Neurospora crassa OR74A: one gene and its partner. The protein of the gene in region 1 binds, or shares a complex with, the protein of each later gene. Links are inferred from orthologs where the notes say so. Each region holds a gene or a part of one and is shown in the gene's direction. Other genes may lie near its edges.

The links.
Region 2: the proteins of NCU04646 (region 1) and NCU02232 are in contact, whole or in part, in a cryo-EM structure (PDB 8FOC), measured with the Saccharomyces cerevisiae proteins. The link is inferred for Neurospora crassa OR74A from reciprocal best matches to the Saccharomyces cerevisiae genes PRI2 and PRI1. Residues at the interface, in NP_012879.1 of Saccharomyces cerevisiae: Gln194, Gln197, Thr198, Ser200, Ala201, Phe205, Pro228, Phe229, Glu230, Ile233, Val236, Gly237, Arg239, Val241, Phe242, Leu243, Lys244, Asp245, Gly246, Tyr247; in NP_012273.1 of Saccharomyces cerevisiae: Arg149, Glu150, Asp151, Phe152, Gly153, Tyr154, Arg175, Leu179, Gln183, Asn186, Val187, Tyr190, Arg195, Lys206, Pro208, Tyr209, His210, Pro211, Ala214.

Annotation. Positions count from the first base shown.
Region 1 is NC_026505.1:1,347,831-1,351,748, reverse strand, and holds NCU04646 (DNA primase large subunit), read left to right. Parts: upstream 1-1,547; 5' UTR 1,548-1,637; coding exon 1,638-1,827; intron 1,828-1,917; coding exon 1,918-3,103; intron 3,104-3,194; coding exon 3,195-3,360; 3' UTR 3,361-3,586; downstream 3,587-3,918. Other genes in the region: NCU04645 (DUF124 domain-containing protein), read left to right, coding at 1-242, 330-679, 741-914, 977-1,021; NCU04647 (actin binding protein), read right to left, coding at 3,709-3,918. UniProt on the Saccharomyces cerevisiae protein: DNA primase is the polymerase that synthesizes small RNA primers for the Okazaki fragments made during discontinuous DNA replication. In a complex with DNA polymerase alpha (DNA polymerase alpha:primase) constitutes a replicative polymerase.
Region 2 is NC_026507.1:3,252,853-3,256,770, forward strand, and holds NCU02232 (DNA primase small subunit), read left to right. Parts: upstream 1-975; 5' UTR 976-1,150; coding exon 1,151-1,566; intron 1,567-1,619; coding exon 1,620-1,820; intron 1,821-1,883; coding exon 1,884-2,997; 3' UTR 2,998-3,337; downstream 3,338-3,918. Other genes in the region: NCU02231 (tRNA (guanine-N(1)-)-methyltransferase), read right to left, coding at 3,388-3,918. UniProt on the Saccharomyces cerevisiae protein: DNA primase is the polymerase that synthesizes small RNA primers for the Okazaki fragments made during discontinuous DNA replication. In a complex with DNA polymerase alpha (DNA polymerase alpha:primase) constitutes a replicative polymerase.

The DNA of each region.
Region 1 (3,918 bases):
CGAGCAGCAGCCCCAGCAGCAGCAGCAGCCAGCACCCACACAACCGGTTGGTCTGGGGTTGAGCACTTCGGCAGCGGCTGCCATTACTGGTGCACCCGCCGCCGGACAGTTTTCCGGTGTAGGTGCGGTGTCGGATGACGTGGGAACGTTCAATGGTGGCAGTTACCGTATCAGCCATCGGGATTGCAATACTATTTTGACTGTGCAGTTGGCGATCGGTTGCCCGTTGGATGCTAAGCCGGGTATGCTTTCTCTCTTGAAATTCACTCCATAGGTGTATCCAAACGAGTGTGTACTTGGCTAACAGTCTCTATCTTATTCTCGCACAGGATCAATGATCGCCATGTCCCCCTCCATGTCCCTCAAGGGAGCCTACAAGTTTGGCTTGAAGAAACTTGTTGCCGGCGGCGAGATGGGCAGCTCGACTTACACCGGTCCGGGTGAGTTGCTTTTGGCCCCTGCCATGCTCGGCGATATCACGAGTCTCCGCCTGGATGGCTCCCAGACCTGGTCTGTCAGCCACGATGGATACCTTGCTTCGACGCAGAACGTCACCAAGGACTATAAGCGCCAGGGACTGGGAAAGGCCATGTTCTCTGGTGAGGGATTGTGGGTGTACAAGATTAGTGGCACGGGGCTGTTGTGGCTGACGAGTTTTGGTGCCATTGTTCGGAAAGATGTGAGTTATCAGTTGTCTGAAGTCCGAGTGGAAGGGTGCGGGTTGCTAACAGAGGAGACAGCTGGCGGACGGCGAGAAGTACATTGTTGACAACGGCCACTTGGTCGCATGGAATACCAAGTACGTTCTGGAACGTGTTGCTTCCGGCGGCTTACTATCGGGCTTCGCTTCTGGCGAAGGACTGGTGTGCAAATTCACTGGCCCTGGAACAATATTCATCCAGACAAGGAATGCGGTTTGTCAAACCCCACACCAGCTTGATACGTTTGGACATGACATAAACTAACTTTTATAAAGACTGCCTTTAGTGCGTTTATGACCGGTCAAACAGCAAAGGCCTAGAGCTGGATTAGGATGTAGGAGTCGTACGGGAGAGTGATACCTGTGGCGGTCGCATTTGAGGCTGTGAACCTCGCATCACTTGATGTCCTTTCATTCTGTTTATTTTGAGTTTGTTAGCGATGTCATGTCGGCTTTGAGATGTGTTCGGGAATAGTTAAAATGTCAGTATCAGTGAACCATGAGCCTCTTGTCCTGTCCTTAGACTAGAAGCTTGACAGCTTCGTTTCCGCTTGGCAACCTATCGATCCGCCATGAATGAGGTTTGGGAAACAGGCGACATAGGCCTGGCTCTCCAAACAATGATACGAGAAGATCCCACCGGGAAAAGACAGACTGAGAAACTTTGAACAGTGGAAAGAAAGTCCAAGTTTGCGAGTAAAAGGGTCTTCGGTGACCGGCTGGCTTTCTAGGGTTAGGGTCAAAGCAGCATCGCGCCCAACTTCACGGACAAAATTACGCCTGTGATTGGCCAGCTTTTTAATTGATTTTGTAAGAGCTGCGCGTCAAGGTAACTTTAGACGCGTCTCCCAGACCAACATCATCCCCAGTCCACGGCTTCCAACCGACAACCTCCCACGTCAGAAAGCCAGGAGGACAGTCCTACCAAGTCTCCATCATGCTACGATCAAACGTCAGTCGCATCGACCCCAAAAGGCGAAACGTCCTCGACCACCGCAAGAAACAATTCGCAGAAGCCGCCTACAAGGACACCGATTATCCCCATCGGCTCAACTTCTACTCGACCCCTCCAACAGCCGACATCACCATTGAGCAGTTTGAACAATGGGCCATCGACAGGTTACGAAGTATGTATCATACCACGCTCATATCTCAGTGATCTACAATACTGGGCGTGCCTCTAAACGCTAATCAACCTCTTTCTTATCATAATCCAGTCCTCGCCGAACTCGAAGCATGCTCCTTCCGTAACAAAACCCCCGCCGAGACGGCCTCGCACATGAAACCTTTACTCGACAAGTACCTCCCGCTCGACACCAACAGCTCCTCCTCCTCCCAGCTCTTCGCCCAGCGGCAAAAAGACCACTACAGCCACTTCATCCTTCGTCTCGCTTTTGCGTCCACGGAGGACCTCCGACGCCGCTTCACCCGCGTCGAAACCATGTTATTTCGCATGCGCCTGAACGCCGACGACGGTCGCGAGCGCGCGGCTTTTATAAACTCGCTTAATCTCGACTGGGAGACTGTTTCGGACGAAGAGAAGCGCGAACTAGCTGCCGAGTTGGCAGCGACTGCCTCCTTCGGCGGCTACAAAAAGGGACAACAGCAGCAGCAGCAATACGAAGAAGACCAACAAACATGGTGCAAAGTCTCGTGGCTGCGCGTCCCCGAGCTGGTCGAACAGCGGCGCGTCTTTCTCCGACAAGGCTACGCCTACGTTCCCGCGCGCGAACAGCAAGCGATGGTCGTTTCGGAATTCTCGTCCCGGCTGGAACGACAGCTCGAGTTAACCGCCCGGGCCCTTCCCCGACTAGACGAAGACGACCGCTTGACGCCCATCCTGGCACACTTGTCCAAGAACTTTATCACGCCCGACGCTTCGTACGTAGGTACTTCATCCGCCATCTCCTCGGCGGATATCTCAGCCAGAAACATCGACACGCTGGTGAACAACCACCATTTCCCCGCTTGCATGTCCCATTTGCATCGCACCCTGCGGCGGGACGCGCACTTGAAGCACTACGGTCGTCTCCAGTACACCCTCTTTCTGAAGGGCATCGGCCTCAACCTCGAAGAATGCTTGCTATTTTGGCGACAGAGTTTCAACAAAATCACCGACGACACGTTCAACAAGGAGTACCGGTACAACGTGCGACACACGTACGGCGACGTGGGCGGCGACAGCAATCGGCGCGGCGGCGGTTACTCGCCATATTCGTGCCAAAAGATTCTCACAGAACATCCTCCCGGACCGGGCGAGGCGCACGGGTGTCCGTACAGACACTTTAACATGGAGAATCTGCAGACGCTGTTGCAGCAGGGGATGGGGGTGACGGATCGCGGGGTGTTGAATGGGGTCAAGGAGGATAAGGAGAAGCAAAAGTTTCATATGGCTTGCAATCGGTATGTTTCTCCCCGCCGCCTTGCTGCTGCTACTCTCTTGACGCTGCTGGACTTGAGCAGTGAATTAACGCTGATGTGGGATACAACCCAGGGTATTCGAACATCTTCACAAGGAAGAACTCAAAAAGGCCAAGGATGAGGGTATCATGACTGCGGCGCAGCTTGAGACTATTGTCCACCCCAACGAGTACTTCAAGCGGAGTTACTTGCTGAAGAATATGGGCAAGATGCAAGGGGATGTCAAGATGGAGGGTTGAAGATACCATGCATGGTTGATGCGGACGAGCTTGAAAAGAGGTTCGATGTGGAAATATGGATGGGCATGGGATGTGGGACCCGGGTTTCTTTCTGTTGTAGTATTTTCTGGCGTTCAGGCGACATAGCGACGACATGACACTCGTACAAGTTCACCCACACACACATGTATGGGATATGATTTGATGAACATCATTAACTTGATCATATTCAACATGTAGATTTATGGTTCTGACATGCTATCCCATACCACGAGTACAGCAGACACCAAAAGAACTAGGCAACACATCACAGGTAATCAAAAGGTGAACAGAAAGTGGTGAGAAATGGGTATCAATTGTTTATTCTTTCTACTGCGGCAATGGCTTCCTGAAGCGACCTTGCAACCAGCAGCGGTACATCTTCAGCTTCTTTGCCCGGTTGACGAGCAATCTACGATCGACACCAAGGTCCTCAATCACGAAGCGGATGTCAGGCTCAGAAGCGTCCTCGACCTCACTGTCCTTGGTAAACAGCTTGCCCGACCAAATATCGGCCAGCTCGTCTTTCTCAAAGAAGTA
Region 2 (3,918 bases), on another chromosome or scaffold:
TTAACTACCAAAATATATAGGGAAGTTATTCTAATAAATATTCTATCTAGAACGCCCCCAATTAGCCCAATAATTCAGTATTTCGACGGCCTTAAAATAAATTTAAACCCGGATTAATTAATTTTAAAGCTTATATTAAAGCTTCTATTATTTTAATAGTTTAGAAGATAATTTAGAAGGGTAGATAATTAAACCTCGTTATTATAAACTGTAATATAACTATAGTAAGGAATAGGTATACTTCTAATTCTTATATCGATGTTTTAGAGTAAGGATTAGCTCCTTATTATCGTCCGGGAACTTTTTTTCTCTAAAATAATGCGAGAATCTATACTTCGAAGTAAACTAAAGATTGGTTGGAAGACTACGGTATCTAGTATATAGCGCATCCTACTCATAGCCCGGATTTAAACCCCATTGAGTACGTTTAGAATAAAATAAAGAGGATATTGAAAAAAGAATTCCCAGAACTCTATTTACTAACGGAGAACGAAGCAAATAAGCGTCGAATTAGAGAAATACTTATTAGCATTTAGAATCGCATCCCTCAAGACTTCATTAACGGCCTTATCAACTTAATGCCCAAACGCCTCGAGGCTTACAGAAGGAATAAAGGCTGGTATACCAAATATTAAATTAGATTCTAGCCTTTCATTTGCAATAAGAATCATTAAAAAATATTAAAGTTTAGTAGTAGAATACACTCTAGAAGGTTGGTATTAAGATATTAATAAATAGGGTGCATTAGGCATTAGGGGGAGGTGACAGTATTTTTTGATCATGAGTTTACCTATTGTCATTAAATGAAGGGTTAGGGTTTAATACCTATCTACTATATAAGGTACACCCCCTCCGGGCCGTCAGTGGACGTTGGAGGTTGCAGTTGTTGTCAGCGTGCACCCCTGCATGCCTGCCCGCCCCTCTGCATGGTCCCCGCTCCACTGCAAGTGCTTTACGCGTACCGCGGTTTTACGACGCGACTATTACTGAATTGAGGTTGTTCCATGAATCGTGAAATCAACACTGGAAAAAAAAGAAAGAAAAAAAGAAAGGCAATCCTTACCCGACCAAACACTCCCAGATATTCACGGAACGATAGGATACTACTCGATTTCAGAAAAAACTATTTTCGTATTCGAGCGCCTTCACAATGCCTCATTCCGAATCACCACCAGAGTCAGAGAACTCGCCGATACCCATGGCCAATGTCGACCAAGAGCAAGAGGATGCCGTTGCTGAGAGCACAACGGCCCAAGTTCCGGAAGCCCAACAGCCAGCAGACGAAGACGTTGACATGGCAGACTCCAATGCAGTCCTATCCGCCCCGACAAATGGCACAACTCATATCTCAGAGTCAAAGGCTGAAAGTCAAGCCGAGACGCCAAACAATCAGGATACCCCAGTACCAGAGGCTGCCACGGGTGCGCCGAGCGAGAGCAAACCGGCAACAGGAGTGAAGCTCGAAGAGCTGTTTGATGAGATGGACTCTGACGATGACGAGTTCCCTACTACCAAGGCAGCAAAGAGGGAGCCAGCAAGCTCGCCCGATCTGCTCTCCTCGCAAAGGTAGCACAACCATGCATTTCAAGCCCAAGACAGCAGAAGCTAACTATGCACAGTGACATGGAGATTGATCTCCACGAAGCCTCAGATCCCGAAGTCATGCGCACATTCTACCAGCGCCTCTTCCCATGGCGATACCTGTTCCAGTGGCTTAACCACAGCCCAACACCCACCAACGATTTCGGCCATCGTGAATTCGCCTTTACGTTGCAGAACGACGCATACCTACGATACCAATCCTTCACCACCTCGGATCTGTGAGTTTGTCTATCCGGTTCCCTTCCAGCTATCCATCTTACTAACCCGACCAACCTGAACAGACTCCGTAAAGATGTCCTCCGCCTCATGCCCTCGCGTTTCGAAATTGGTCCCGTCTACACAGCCAACCCCCGCGATCGCAAAACGCTACGGAACTCGTCAGCTTTCCGGCCCCTGTCCAAGGAACTCTGCTTCGATATCGATCTGACAGACTACGATGACATCCGTACTTGCTGCGACAAAGCCAACATATGCCAAAAGTGCTGGCAATTCATCACCATGGCCATCAAGGTCGTCGACACGGCTCTGCGCGAGGACTTTGGCTTCAAGCACATCATGTGGGTATACTCGGGTCGTCGCGGTGCTCACGCATGGGTATGCGACAAGAGTGCGCGGGCGCTAGACGACCAGAAGCGACGCGCCATCGCCGGCTACCTCGAAGTCATCCGGGGCGGCGCGCAAAGCGGCAAGAAAGTCAACCTCCGCCGGCCGCTGCACCCGCACTTGGTCCGCTCCCTCGACATCCTCAAGCAGCATTTTCAGTCGGACGTGCTTGAGGCCCAAGACCCCTGGCGCACCGAGGACCAGCAAGAGAAGCTCCTCGCCCTTTTACCTTCGGATCAGAAGCAACTCGTGTCCGCCCTGCGCAACAAGTGGGCTTCATCGCCCGACCGGCCGTCCACCCTGAAATGGGCCGACATCGACAGCGTGGCCAAGACGTCCACTGCCAAAAACTTTGACACCAAGTCCCTCCTGGACGCCAAGCAGGATATTGTGCTCGAGTACACGTACCCGCGCCTTGATATCGAAGTGTCCAAGAAACTCAATCATTTGCTCAAGTCTCCCTTTGTCGTGCACCCGGGCACAGGGAGGGTGTGTGTGCCGATTGATGTGAAGAGGGGATTAGAGAGTTTTGATCCGCTGGGGGTGCCGACGGTGCAGAGTCTGATTAGGGAGATTGACGAGTGGAAGAAGCCAGAACCAAAAGAAGGGCGCCAGGAGCAGGAGGTGGAGAAGCATGTGGTGGATTGGGAGAAGACGAGTCTGAAGGGCTATATTGAGTTTTTCAGAAGCTTCGTGATTGGGTTGATGAAGGATGAGAGGGAGGTTAAGGTGAAGAGGGAACGAGAGGAGGAAGGAGGAGGAGGAGGAGGAGGTGAGAGTATGGAGTTTTGATGGGTGGATTGAAAATAAAGTCGGAATAGGGGAAACATAGAAGGCTTGGGTCAAATGTTTGTGCATCTTGTGATGTAAGGGGTCATTGGCGTTGTATGGTAAGGACTGGATATCGTTTGCAGGCCAAGGTTTAGCAGGTCTACGGCTGGCTTGAACATGGGAACATCATGTCCCTTTTTGATAACTGAGAAGGGTATTTGTTTGGCGGCTCAAAATAATTGGGTATATATGCCCTGTGATGCACCCGCCATCCTAAACCATACAACGGCCATCTAATCTGCCACTGGATGTTATGGGGGATCTTCACTGGACTTTTCCTACAGAGCAAAGAGCCGTCATCCACGTCTTCGCATTCGAAGGATTGATTCTGGTGGAGGTGAGACAGCGGTTCTACCCAGACATTTGCACATCTTGTGCTTGCTCTGTCGTCTGGTCTGTGACCTCGGGAGCTGCAGCCTCACCATTGGCTTCTTGGGTGCCGTTCTCCTCCTCTTCATCATCCTCGCCGTTGTCCGCAGCAGGGGTACCACATGACGACTCTGCCTTGAGGGTTCCGCCCTTTCTCTTGGGAATAACGGTCAGGAACGCCTCACCCCAGTCACCGCACTCGAGCCATTTGGCCATGATCTCTACAACCTGGTTTGTCGTGAGGACGTAGCGGCTCTGCATCGCCATATACTCTCCAATTGGCAGTTTGGCCGTCCGCACCTTTGCCGCCTTGGCCCGGCCGTAGCAGAGGCCCTTCTCGCGGTTCCTATCCACCAGGCCGCCAATGACGTAGCACGTGTTCGCTTCTAGCTTGTCCAGGGTGTAGTCAGACTCTGCCGACAGGTAAACAATCGACTGGTTCACATCCTCGGCCTCTTCCTCAGGCTTCGGCTTGGGAGCCGCAGCAGCAGCAGCATCACCACCCTCACCACC